Linked DNA regions of Drosophila melanogaster. The protein of the gene in region 1 interacts with the protein of each later gene in a biochemical or structural test. Each region holds a gene or a part of one and is shown on either strand. Other genes may lie near its edges.

Region 1 (4,997 bases):
AAATAATTAAGAAAAGAAAAGAAATGTGCCCGGTCTGTTTACAAACATTTAGCGTTTTCCATTAGATCTAGGCCTTCCGCAGTGCGCGCGTGTATCTGTAAATGTATCCGTATCTGTGCGATGGGGTTTTCGGTATGAGTAGGTTTACTATACATATAGTATACACTATATCTGAGCCACTATTATCGCTGCGCTTTCGCCCCACGGCGAGAGCAAACACGCGCGCGAAGAAAACAAACAGCGGCGAGGGCCAGAGAGCGGGTGACTCAAAACGAGGAAGGGGAGTAATCTAACCATTCTCGTACACAGAAAAAAAGTGTAAATAAACACATATCATACCCATATTTTCATTTATACACAGTTAACAATCAGTCCACTATTTCGTTATCTGCACGGCGAAAATCAATGGAGAAGTGTGTGAAATAATGTGCGAGTAAACAGAAGTGGCAAAAGCTACGTCATCGTTGAAGAGCGCCACCTCAATGTTGACTGTCCACCACAAATATTTACGTCACTCTAGATCACCCAACCGCTCACCACCCACCGCCCGCAGTGCCACTCGCCCAAGGTTGCAAGACGTCGGGGAAAATGCGTGCTGCGCTGTTTCGAAGCGATTTGCACAGCGATTAAGTTCCCACTTCCATGGTAATTCCAATAAAGCGCCATAGGCCACTGATAACGCCCGCAGGAGAATTGAAGCCCAGGCGGAGAGCCTGAGTATCTCAATCTCAATCTCAATCTGTAACTGAATCGGATTCCAAGTCTGAATCGGTACCAAAACAAAAGTAGCAATTCAAAACAAACGTAGCGAGCGGTTTCGTTTACGCAATCAGCTGCGAAAAACACGAGAATGCTCATGTGTACATAAGTGTGTCCAAGTGCCGCACAGCGCCACAGATTTCGTTTATTATTAATTTTTATTAATAACCAGCGGCCGCAGAAGGTTGCGAAAAGTGCCGAGAGAAAATCTGTGTGCGAAATATAGAGCTCTGGAGTCGAGTCATCAATAAAGTCCGGCAAATATGACAACTTGGCAGTATTTTTTCGCCCCAGCAACAATTAGTTTTTATAGGGAAGTTAGTAAGAGATACAGTTGTGAACAAGTCGGTGGCCTTTTTGACTCTATTTCGCTACTACCTAGTTAATAACACGTGTGCAAATCGTATTATGAATCACTAGACCTCTTTTATTCAAGGCATTTTCGTTTGGTTTGTAGATTACAGTCTTAGTATGTTGTAATTAAATTCGTAGTAGAATTAAGTTTAGGTTATAGTAGACAAAAATACAAACTAAGATAGGAATTATGCCTATCAACAAGTTTACATCTGATTAGGGAACTTAAGGTACTTGGGTACAGTATTAAAACTATGAATAAAATTTAGGAAGGTAGCAGGAAATTAATAAATATTGTTAAGACTTTAAATACCACCGGTAATTGTGTGAATACAAATAATACAACTATGCTCCATCATTTCAACCGCAACTGTAAATGGATAATTGGAGTCTCGCTGCTCTCTTCCTGTTCTTCGCACACATACACACGCATGGGCGCGAACGCTGCAAGTGTCCGTGTGAAGAAGGAGAAGGCGAAGAGGTGGGAATCCAAAAGCTAAGGATGCAGGACTTCATTAGGAAGTGGTTCGCATATCCCTTTCGTTATCTTCTTACTTTCGCCCCCAGCAATGAAACGCCATGAATTGGGGGAGACGGAATCTAACGATTGCGAACGCGTCGTATCTTGTTTTTTGCATGCATGACAATGTGTGCAGAATACGCGCGCGCTCACACACTAAACCACTCGCACAACCGAAGGCGTGTGTGCATGTATGCAATTTTTTGGGGTGGTATTGGCGGTGAAGGCAGGAGGGATGAAGGGAAAGAGACGGGCGGAGAACTCGAAAATTTAGCAAGTAAACACTCTCCGATTGCGATTACAAAGTCAGCTAATTTCCTTTCATTTTTTATTATAAATTTTTGATTCCGTTTTTTTGTTGATGCCCAACAGTTGATGTATTTTCATACGCGATACACACACAACGCGCTACAGACACTTGGACGCACACAGACACAACGTCTGGCAAGTACATCGCTTTTTGGGCCGTCTCTTTTGCGGTTCATTCAATAAAATTATTGCGAATGGCAGGCGCAAAACAGAATCGCAAAAATTGCAGTGTATTGTGGGAAAGAAGAAGAGGCGTGTGGTAAAGAAAAATGCCGTCTCTCCACCACACACATTACACATGCACGCAATTTTGATCGCTACACGCGCCACCCACACTCTGCAATGTTTTTGTTGTTGTTGCAAGCCGATTTTGTTTTGATTCGATACTTTATTTATGTATACATAATATTTAGGAGCAGCGCATTTCCGCGATATTCGCTGGCGATTTTGCATTTCATTGAAACGCACACAAAACGCAGGGAAAAGAAAAACAGACGACGGCTAACTCACCTCGAACACACGCACACCTACAAACCACACACAGCGGAGAGCGAGGAAATTCAACACGACGGTATGCGTTGTTGCATAAAGTGCGATAAAAGGGGAGACACTGAAAGAAGCAAATCAGCCGAGTTGTATTCAAAATCGGGATCCAATATGGGCTATTGCCGGGATATATAGTCCGATTCCCTGGCAAGGCCGCAAATCATCCACGGAGTACGTGAGAACACACCGTCGGTCACATTCACAGTAAAATTCAAACACACACACACTAGCACGCAGACAACACAGAAGCCGCAAGAGGGCAAAAGAGAGCGGGAGAGAGAGAGCAGCAAAGAGAGAGAAAGAGCGCGGGGGCAAAAACCAAAAAGTTATACACTCACGCTGCAATTCCTTGTTTCTGTTTCTGGCGTTTTTCGCTTTTAGTGCTTAGCACGCTGGCTGCATTCGATCAGTTTATATACAATTTTCTCTTGCGCATATTTATTGGGGGATCACGAGTTAGTTTTCGACCAATATATCTTCCCGGATAATTGTAATTTTCGCTATTTTCCGCGGACCGACGCTAGAGCGTTGGTCTGACCACGACGATAATATCTGCGTATCGATACTCGGCCAGAGAGTACAGCGATAGTTGCATATGACGAGAATGTGAGCTGTTATCGATATCGAACTCTAGCACCCCTGTGACGCCACCATTGTTATGGTACTCTATTAACATATACTTGGCAAAACTGGAGCACCTTGAATGAATATTTGTACAAATCAGAGCAGAAAAAAGCAAACAGCACGACAAACTGCGAGACAGATTCGCCGCTTCGACGCCATGTTGTCTTTCGCTCTTGATTCGCCCCAAAAGAGTGTGCAATAATGCACGAACTGGGTTTTGGTGTTACCGTTTTTCGCACTCCCTACTGTTACGATAATATTTTAAAACAAAAACACGTTAAATATTATAAAATTAGAAAATAGAGCTATAAGTACGTTTACTTAGTATTAAAAAGAGCAAACAGTTTGATTACTCAGTAATTACATCCTCGATTCGAAAGTTAGCATTGTAGTAAACACATAATTCCGATTAGAAATCTTTTCCAGCTTAATTTAACTTGAATGTAAAGTGTCATCTTAAACTAATCTCAGGTGCTAGTTTATAATGAATGTAATGACACGTTAGAGTGCTAAGATATTTATTATTCTGTTAATTTTATGATTTTCAGATATTAAAGAATTTCGAATTTTCTGCCGCCTTAGTGTGGCCAGGTGGCGGCGGATTCCAAATGCCTGCAGTTGTGCCCCGTCGTTTTGGTATTCCGAGTGAAAGACGCAGCGACCCGCTGCTGCGATGCATTTGCTCACTTGGCCAACTTCGGTGCTGCGTTCCCGATGCCTAGGACGACAAAATGCTGCGCCAGAACCTGTTGGATCAGCTTAAGCACTTCATAGAGACGGTGAGCAATGGGCACAGTTGTCCGCAGCTGCTGACCAGCCCCAATCTCATCAAGCTCGCGTGAGTAGCAACCGCGGTGGTTAATAATGATGCCCGTAGTAAATAATTCCATGGATATTTGCAGACTGGGATTCCTGGAGGAGCTGCCCGCCACGCGAGACATTGTGTTCGAATACTTCGCCCTGCTGGCCGAAATCAGTGTGCAGCTGTATGTGTCGCCGGAGATGGCCGACCCAAAGACCGGTATGCCGGTATCCCAGGTGAAGCTGGCCGGGAATCGCCAGCAGCAGCAACGTGCTCCGGAATACGAGGCTTTCAATCTGGTAAAGACCGCGCTGCAGAGTCTGGTGTGGAAGGGACCGCCCGCCTGGTCGCCGCTCATCGCCAACTGGAGTCTGGAACTAGTGGCCAAGCTGTCCGATAAGTACACCCAGCGGCGGATGACCATCACGGCCAGCTGCAACTATTGGCTGGAGTGCAGCGCCATGCACGGGCTGATGACCCTTATAAATAGTTGTTTCCGAAAGTTAACCCAACCGGAGGAGGAGGCCTGCGTGGAGATCATGCTCAATGCCTTTCACCGGTTTCCCATGACCTTCGACTGGATTGTGGCGAGATTGGGCGGCTGTTTCCCTTACAAGATCATCATGCAGATTCTACAGTGCGGCATCAAGCGATTCGTCGATGACTACCGCTGCCACCTGGATTCGGAGGCGGGCATCCTCGATTATATGACCTCGTGCCACGAACAGCACCTTAGGGCAGCCTTTCGTGAGATGCTTAGGGAGGGATTCGCACCGAAGAAGCCGCTGGACGTGGCCGTTGTTCCTTTCCTGCTGATCACCACCAACTACTCGGACACGATCCTGCAGAGCTTGGTCAATGTGCTAGTCGAAATCTGTAAGTACTGGTTGAATAAAGAGATATATTATTTCTCTAACACAATGTCATGTAGATACCGAGGACATGTGCGAGGTGATAGTGCAGAAGGCGCCGTTGTGGCTGAGCAACAAAATGTTTGCCGGTATGCAGCCCACGCTGAATAATGCCGTGCTGCGCCTGAACGAGCGTGGAGCGACGTTGCTCCTTACGGCAGCCAAAATGGCC
Region 2 (7,449 bases), 5.1 Mb from region 1:
AATGTCATTCACCACGAAAGCCGCAGCGTTGCCACATCAATTGATTTAAATATTACTTCTCAAAAAAAATTATCGATGTCAGTATTTAAATAACGATATCTGTTTTTATTTTTATTGCAAGCACAAATTTGTCATTCGAGAATTTTTCATGTAAATACGTAAAAAAAATAGAGAAAAATGCCTGCCTAACGAATAAAACTTTGTTTAGTCGTTACATACTGGAATATCCCTTGTATTATCAAATATCAGTTTCGATAGTTCGATAATTCACTACACGTATAAGAAAGACGCCGGCTGGAAGAAAAAGTAATATGTGTAAGCAAATGCAAGGAAATTACGGCCAACAAAAACTAAACTCTGAACCTTTGCAGCCGCTTCAGTGAGCAGTAAGAGCACCGTGGTATCCTCCATCATCTCGGGCCTCCTGAGCATTGTTTTGTTCGGCACACTGCGTTTCTGCTCAGAATGGTTTAACGACTCGCAGCTGAGGGTCCTTTTGGGCGGATACCTCTTCTCCTGGGTGTTCATCCTGAGCCTCACGTGCGTCTCCAACGCGGAGATGGTTGTTTTCGGCCAGGACTTCCAGGCCAAGCTGCTACCAGAGATTATTTTCTGTCTCTCACTCACGGTGGCCGCCGCGGGACTCGTGCATCGTGTCTGCGCCACCACCAGTGTTCTCTTTTCCCTGGTGGGGCTCTACTTCCTTAACAGGATCTCCACGAAGTATTACTCCGTTCAGGTGCCCAGCGTGGATGCTCCTACGACGAGAAAGGGCGGAAAGAAGTTCAAATGAACCATTCGTCTGCTTCTTATTTCATTACTAACACATTCGAATACCTAATCTTTAATAACCTTTAATAAATAACTAACTTATAAAGTCATGTCAATCGGTCACTTTGAAGCTATCCAAGCTCCATTATTACAGTTGGCCAGCCTTATACTACTGAGTATTGGTGCTGTGGAATAGGGGATCTTATTGGGAATTCATGAATTCAGTTAAAAAACTCCAATCTCTGGTTATATGGATATCGTAATCCTTTTCCAACAGAATCAAAACCTCGAACGCAAAGTCGTTTTCACAGCGTCTCTATTGCATGCCTTCTCGCAGAAAATGTATAGCTCCACTTTTTGGTTGCTTTTCAAAGCTGCTTCCAGTTGTTATAAAGTGAATTCGAACAAATAGATCAATCTGAAAAGTCGGTTTAGTTTGCTTTAAACATTTTGGATTTGTTTTGTCAACAAAAATTGCCGGCAAAGTGTGACCAGCTTGCGTTTTACGCGTTTAGTATATTTTAGTAATGAAATACTGCATATAATGGTTGCCTGCTGGTCAACGCTTTCGAGTATATTTTCAATAAAAACTTTTGAAATAAACTCAGCTGTATTTAACAATAACTGTTTAAAAACGATTGCATCATGCATTTGTAATTATACAGGGTGATGTCTTATTATTATCAAAGAAACTTTTAGATATTTATAGCTCTTTTCTGATAGTCTATTCGAGCGCTCTGGCAACACCCCACCTAGGCGCGCCTACAGACGTTACTGGCAACGCCAAATGAATAGCGTCGCGTCTTTTTTGTAGTTTAAAATTTTGTGGAGTTTTAGCGAAATAAGTTAAGTTTATTGTTGTCGTGTATGTAACTTCGTGAAGAATCCTTTTTTCAAGTTTCAATTGCAAATATGTAAGTTGCCACCGCGAGCATGCCATAGGCAAGAGAACATACAAACTCCGAGCTCACCCGTCTGTTTTTCAGGTCGAAGCCCCAGAACAACGACACTCTGGAGCTGGACGACATCCTAAGCCAGCCAGTGAAGGACAAGGAGCGCTTCGCCGCCTTTATGATGCGCAAGCTTGCCGAAAATAAGCCGGCACAGAATGACAATCTCTTTGGAAACTTCAAACTTGACTTTGACCTTGATTTCGAGGTTCCACTGATCAAGAAGTCTCAGGCTAAGCCCAAGTCCAAACTACCAGAAGTACAGCCCCTTGGGGAGTTGGTCAGCAAAAACAGTGCCGCCACCGAGAAAGTCAATGAGCCGCCTGTGGACCAGGCCCCCAATGAGAACGTGCCTCCGCGTCGATCGCCAACATTGTCGCCCAATAACCGACGTTCCATGCGCCGCAGTGGAAATGTACCCGGATCTGATAAACTACGTCGACATGCCATCCGCCGGCGGTCCAGGAGCTGTGGACGCCAATTGCTTCCAGAGTTTGAGGAGACCGTAAACTTGACCCGCAGCATATCAAGTCCTGTAAACTTCGTATGTTAAATACATGTCCCACAAATACCTAATCCTTGTACTAACAACAATGCTCTTTTAGTTACCAGAAATAAGCAGCACACCTTGCACAGAGAAACAAAAAGAGGAAGTTGCCAAAAATACAACAAGAGTGGAAACTGATAAACCAGCGGAAAAACCTATGGAACTATCACAAGAACCAGAGCCGGAAAATCCGCTGCAGACAAAGGTGACCTCACCTGCCAGGAACCCTATTCTTGCAGCTGAAATTGAACAAATCTGCAAAGAGCGACAGAGTTCCTTTCACAAGAATGTACTGCAGCTGGACTATTCTGGACGGGCACCGTACTCGCGACCCCCTACTCCGTCATCACCATCCGTTGCGGGCCTACGACGTACCTACACAATGGAAAAGGGCCCAGCTCCAGGCCAGCTGCTGCTATCGCCATCACATCGCTATGACACACCGAGCAAAATGCCAGTAGTTAAGGCAAAGCGGTTCAATCAGGAGTTAATGGTCCCGGACACGCCAGAGCGACAAAGTCACGACCCAGCCTGGCAATCAGAGCCCCAACCGGAGTTCGTAGTGCCGGAAACCCAGCCGCAGGATCTGGGAGAGTTGGTGCAGACTCTGTCGCGCAGCGCGATCAGCCCAATTGTGGTGATAAACACATCCAATTCGAATCGTAGTGTAAGAAGGGACGCTGTCGCAATGAAATCTGTTCCGACTTCGCCAGTTACGGCGTTATCTTCACCACCGATTGCGCCTTCTCCTAGGCGATCCGCCGCTGCCTCTCCCCAGAAATCCATTGCACAACTGCCGCGGGTGGAAGAAAATATGGATGCCATAATGACCGACGACGAAAGCGACGAACATCCCAGCACTGTGCCATTAAATCTAGCTCCTTCAGGTGGGAACACAACCCGGCAACGGCGTTTGCGCAGTAGTAATCGGGCTCGAGCTACAATCGAATCTCAGGAGAGCTCTATGCGCTTGCTTAACCTTCACAAGTCGGTCAATGCCAAAAAGTCAAAGCCGCGAAAGACTGCTATACCGCTGAATAAGGCTCCAAGTGCCCCCATTAATGGCGAGCAGTTTGCCCGCGAGCTAACCCGGATGAGCAACTACGAGATTTTGGATTTGCGCAAGCGCAACTCGTTGAACGAGATATATCCTTTAAATGGGCACAGAAACCATCGTTCAGAGAAGCTTATCCTAGAAGAAGAGATTCAGAGGGAGCTGCTACGTAGAAATCTAATGGATGAGGCCGAAGGTTTGCCAAAACAACAGTCCTCGGATGATTCGAATGAAGACTATATACCGGTTCCGCCAAAAACACAAAGTCTTCGAACTAAAAGCAATGATCGATCGCAGGGACGAGGGCGACCACGATCTACTCGTCGTGATCTTCCAATGGTAAGTTCAAGATCGCTTATATGTTGCGAAGGAAAAAAAAAACCTTTTTTCCCCGTTTTGCAGACAACAGAATTGGTAAACTATTTGGGTCTCTCCCAGACTTTAGAGACTCGACGCAAATCTTCAAAGGACGGCAAGCGTTGTCTGTACACAAAGGGTAGCTCGGACCATGAAGATAACGATTCATTATCACCTGTAAAATTGCCAAGACTAAGCAAGAGCATCCAAATTGTTCCGCCACCTCCAGTTTCACTGCGCTATTCGCAATCTTTGCAAAATCTGCCCTGCTCCGGAAAATTTGATTTCGATAATGTCGTGATGGCAGCCCCACCAGATTTCCATGATAGTGTAAATAGTGATGCAATTGAGATTGCTCCCCCGCCTCCAGAGTACGTTGTAAATACACGGGGCAGAAGCACAAGTGGGCGAAAGAGCAATAAAAATGACCTGGTTTTACCTCCACCGGGGTACGAAGGGGGCCAGGAAGAAGAACATGATGAGCGACCAAGCCAGCCGCGTTGCACAGCCAAAGAACTTCAACAATCCACTCAGAATGGACGAAGGGCGATGGAGAACGAACTGGTACCACCTCCTATCGAATATGTTGAAGAAGAGAATCGCAACAATGAGCAATCAAGGAGATCGACGAAAAATGGCAATCTTGTTGATCGAAATACACATAACGCAGTAGAATATTGTGAACCGCCAGAGCCACCAGAGTACGACGATAGTGACCATGGGCAAGCAAGTATACTGAGGAGAAGTGGAAAAAAATTGCAGCACTCCAAACAGAGTGTACAAAAGTCCAATAAGGAACAAATTATTGCACCTTCGTACGAAAATAACGAAGACTATGACAGTGACGAGGAACCAATTTACAATGAAGAATACGGAAAAGAGGAATCTCAAAATAAAAATGTCACTAGAAGAAAGAGCGATAAGGATGAAATGGCATCACATACATTAGAATGTATTGAAGGTCCAGATCCAAATTGGAATTCGTCCTGTAACAAACAGAATCGTAATCACCAGAACGCATCAAAAAGCAAAGAAAATGATAAGTTAGCCAATCGTTCATCTAAGTCCCAGAAACTCTCAAATCCCCGCCAGAATGCAGTTGGTACAGAAAAATCCGTAGCTCTAAGCAATCGAGGGGAAGAATGTACCGAGAAATCATCAGACGTTATGGAATCACTTCGCGTTAACACACCCACTCCTCCGATTGATCAAAACTCAGATGATGTTCCCAGCAGAAATCCATCTCCCAGTAGGACTCTTTTGTCTGACGACGTACCCAGCACGAGTAGAGCGGCGTTGGAGTTTTTGCAGCGTAGTCAGAACATGTCAAAGAGTCGTCCCCCGGATGAATCAAGCGCGGATGTGGTGTTCAAGAAACCATTGGCACCTGCACCAAGGGCGAAATCAAAAAAAGGGAAGTCTGAAGTAGACAAATTAAAGCTGGCCAAAATGCCGGTGGAAGCTGAGGAACTAAATACTAGTGAGTATATTCAATAATAAATGTTTTGATAAAATTAAATGTATGCTCTATTATTTTCTGCTCCCTTAGCCGGTATTCGGAGATCAAAGCGCGGTCAAGTTCCACTTCAGATGAGTTGGTGTCACACCATGGATCCTAGCAAGTTTAACTTTATGAGTGGCTTCATAGAGCCTCGCAGCAAAAACTCAAAGACGAAAAAGGGAAATTTGAGTAAGGCGAAGAAAGCCAGTGCCACAAAGCCAAAGCCTACTGTAGAGAAGAACTTACCCGACAACCGGGGACCATTGTGCAGCAGTACCCCAAGAATTTCTGAAAAGCTGCCAGGGGCCATACCGCATTCCGAATCCCTTGGCCTGAGTACCTTGACGTGGGAAGAAACTGAAGTGCAAGCAGAGGCTGAGAAGGTGCCCAAGAAAAGGGGACGACCAAAGAAGGCAGTTGGAGGTGTCCAAACTGATACGGAGGCTGAGCCAGAACCAGAGCCAGAGCCTATGATATCTTCGGTTGCTCCACTTACAAGCGATCAGGAAGAGCCTGACGTTCCTGACGAGCAGGCGCCTTATACGGAAGCTGCGCTAGGTCCCGTCGTATTTTCAACTCCCCTGAGAGACGAGCAGGAAGAAGCCTCCACTAAACTGATGCAGTGGCTGCGTGGCGTCGGCGATGCACCACCCAGTGCAAGTATGTCGGATGAAAACGCCAGTGTCTGTAAGTGTAAAATCTATAGAAATTGAATCCATATAGCTTATTTATTAATAATTGCTATTTTTCATTGCCAGCTTCTGCAAACGAATTGATTTTCTGTCAGGTAGATGGTATCGACTACGCTTTCTACAATACAAAGGAGAAAGCAATGCTGGGTTATATGCGATTCAAGCCATACCAAAAACGTAGCATGAAACAAGCGAAAGTCCATCCACTTGTAAGTAAAATATAAGATTATTCCCATTCAACTCGCAGATCATTTTAAAACCTATTCTGCTTTTAGAAACTCCTTGTGCAATTTGGCGAATTTAATGTGGAGACCTTAGCCGTGGGCGAAGAGAAGGAAGTCCATTCTGTTCTGCGTGTTGGTGACATGATCGAGATAGATAGGGGTAAGATATTGCTGAATAATATTTATTATATATTATTTGAATGTTTCTTTTCTTCCTTAGGCACTAGGTATAGTATTCAAAATGCGATAGATAAAGTCAGTGTGCTGATGTGTATACGCAGTTAGTAATTGCTTTGTAATTTATATACGGATAAGTATTGAGCCGATTTATATTTCTTACGTTTTCGCCACAGAAAATAAAAATAATAAAGAGTTGTTTTGTTAAAATATGTAAGACCGACATAGTTTTTTCATGTATTTTAAGTAGCAAAGGTGATAGACCCACGCCATAACTTCGGGTCATATCCTAGCTGCTTAGAATTTCAAGTTCATTTTATTTCCATTTTCTTTGAAATTCACAAGTCGCTCGCCGTGATGTTGATGGCATTGGAGACTTCAAAAGCGAAATGGCAAACAGGGGTAACAACGCCAGAAAGAACAAATAAGCAGGCAACTTTCAAAACAATCTGCACGTCTGCTTTGTATGGCAATTTTTAAAAAAGCACACACACAAATCACACGCAGCAGGAACACAAACATAAATTTGTAAAAAAAAAAAAAACAAAACAAAAATTGAATCAACAGAAACTTTTCCGGCAGGTGTGCCAGTGCCTGCATCCCCACACGGGACTTGGAACATCGTTTAAAATTAACAAAACACCATCTAACATTCATTACAGCAGTGTCAACCCTTTGATCATCCCACACGCCGCACTCTATTACGAGTTTCCCGGAAAATACCTTGCAAATAAAAGGAATTAATAGAACGATTTTATATATAGATAATCTTATATATATTCTTTAGTTCACTTGATTGGTTTAAAATATGTTAATGGGAAGCTAAAAAACTAAATATTTTATATTCACATGCTTGCACATGTTCTCGGTTCACATATTTTCGCCGAGTGTGCACAGACAATTGAATCGGAATTTTTCAGGTCTCGCTTAGGCAGCTGGACTCCACGCCCACCGCCATGTGCAGCTCATGCATGGCAATCAGCGGGAAACCTGTAGTGTTTCTTTGAAGTCTTGCAATCCAATGGAGAATGGCTGACGAACTAGAGAGAAGACGTCTTACAATGTGGACAGATATTGGTGCCTGGTTAGCTGGATGTCCAACCAGTTGCTCCATTTCACGTTCAATTTTCATTTTCTTGACGGCAGGAGTCTGCAACTCCCCGGTAGGCATGCCAA

What was found.
Region 2: the proteins of flfl (region 1) and Cenp-C are reported together in a solved structure, tested with the Drosophila melanogaster proteins (one study listed by BioGRID).

What each region holds. Positions count from the first base shown.
Region 1 is NT_033777.3:13,681,980-13,686,976, reverse strand, and holds the start of flfl (falafel), read right to left. Parts: upstream 3,057-4,997; 5' UTR 2,827-3,056; intron 2,553-2,826; 5' UTR 2,453-2,552; intron 1-2,452. Other genes in the region: omd (oocyte maintenance defects), read left to right, coding at 3,844-3,950, 4,015-4,790, 4,846-4,997. UniProt on the Drosophila melanogaster protein: Regulatory subunit of serine/threonine-protein phosphatase 4. The probable PP4 complex Pp4-19C-PPP4R2r-flfl (PPP4C-PPP4R2-PPP4R3) is required to prevent caspase induced cell death (in vitro). May be involved in DNA damage repair.
Region 2 is NT_033777.3:8,562,572-8,570,020, forward strand, and holds Cenp-C (centromeric protein-C), read left to right. Parts: upstream 1-1,533; 5' UTR 1,534-1,683; coding exon 1,684-1,685; intron 1,686-1,757; coding exon 1,758-2,265; intron 2,266-2,326; coding exon 2,327-3,661; intron 3,662-3,724; coding exon 3,725-5,159; intron 5,160-5,228; coding exon 5,229-5,867; intron 5,868-5,938; coding exon 5,939-6,081; intron 6,082-6,147; coding exon 6,148-6,256; intron 6,257-6,316; coding exon 6,317-6,381; 3' UTR 6,382-6,677; downstream 6,678-7,449. Other genes in the region: CG31460 (uncharacterized protein), read left to right, coding at 312-315, 372-793.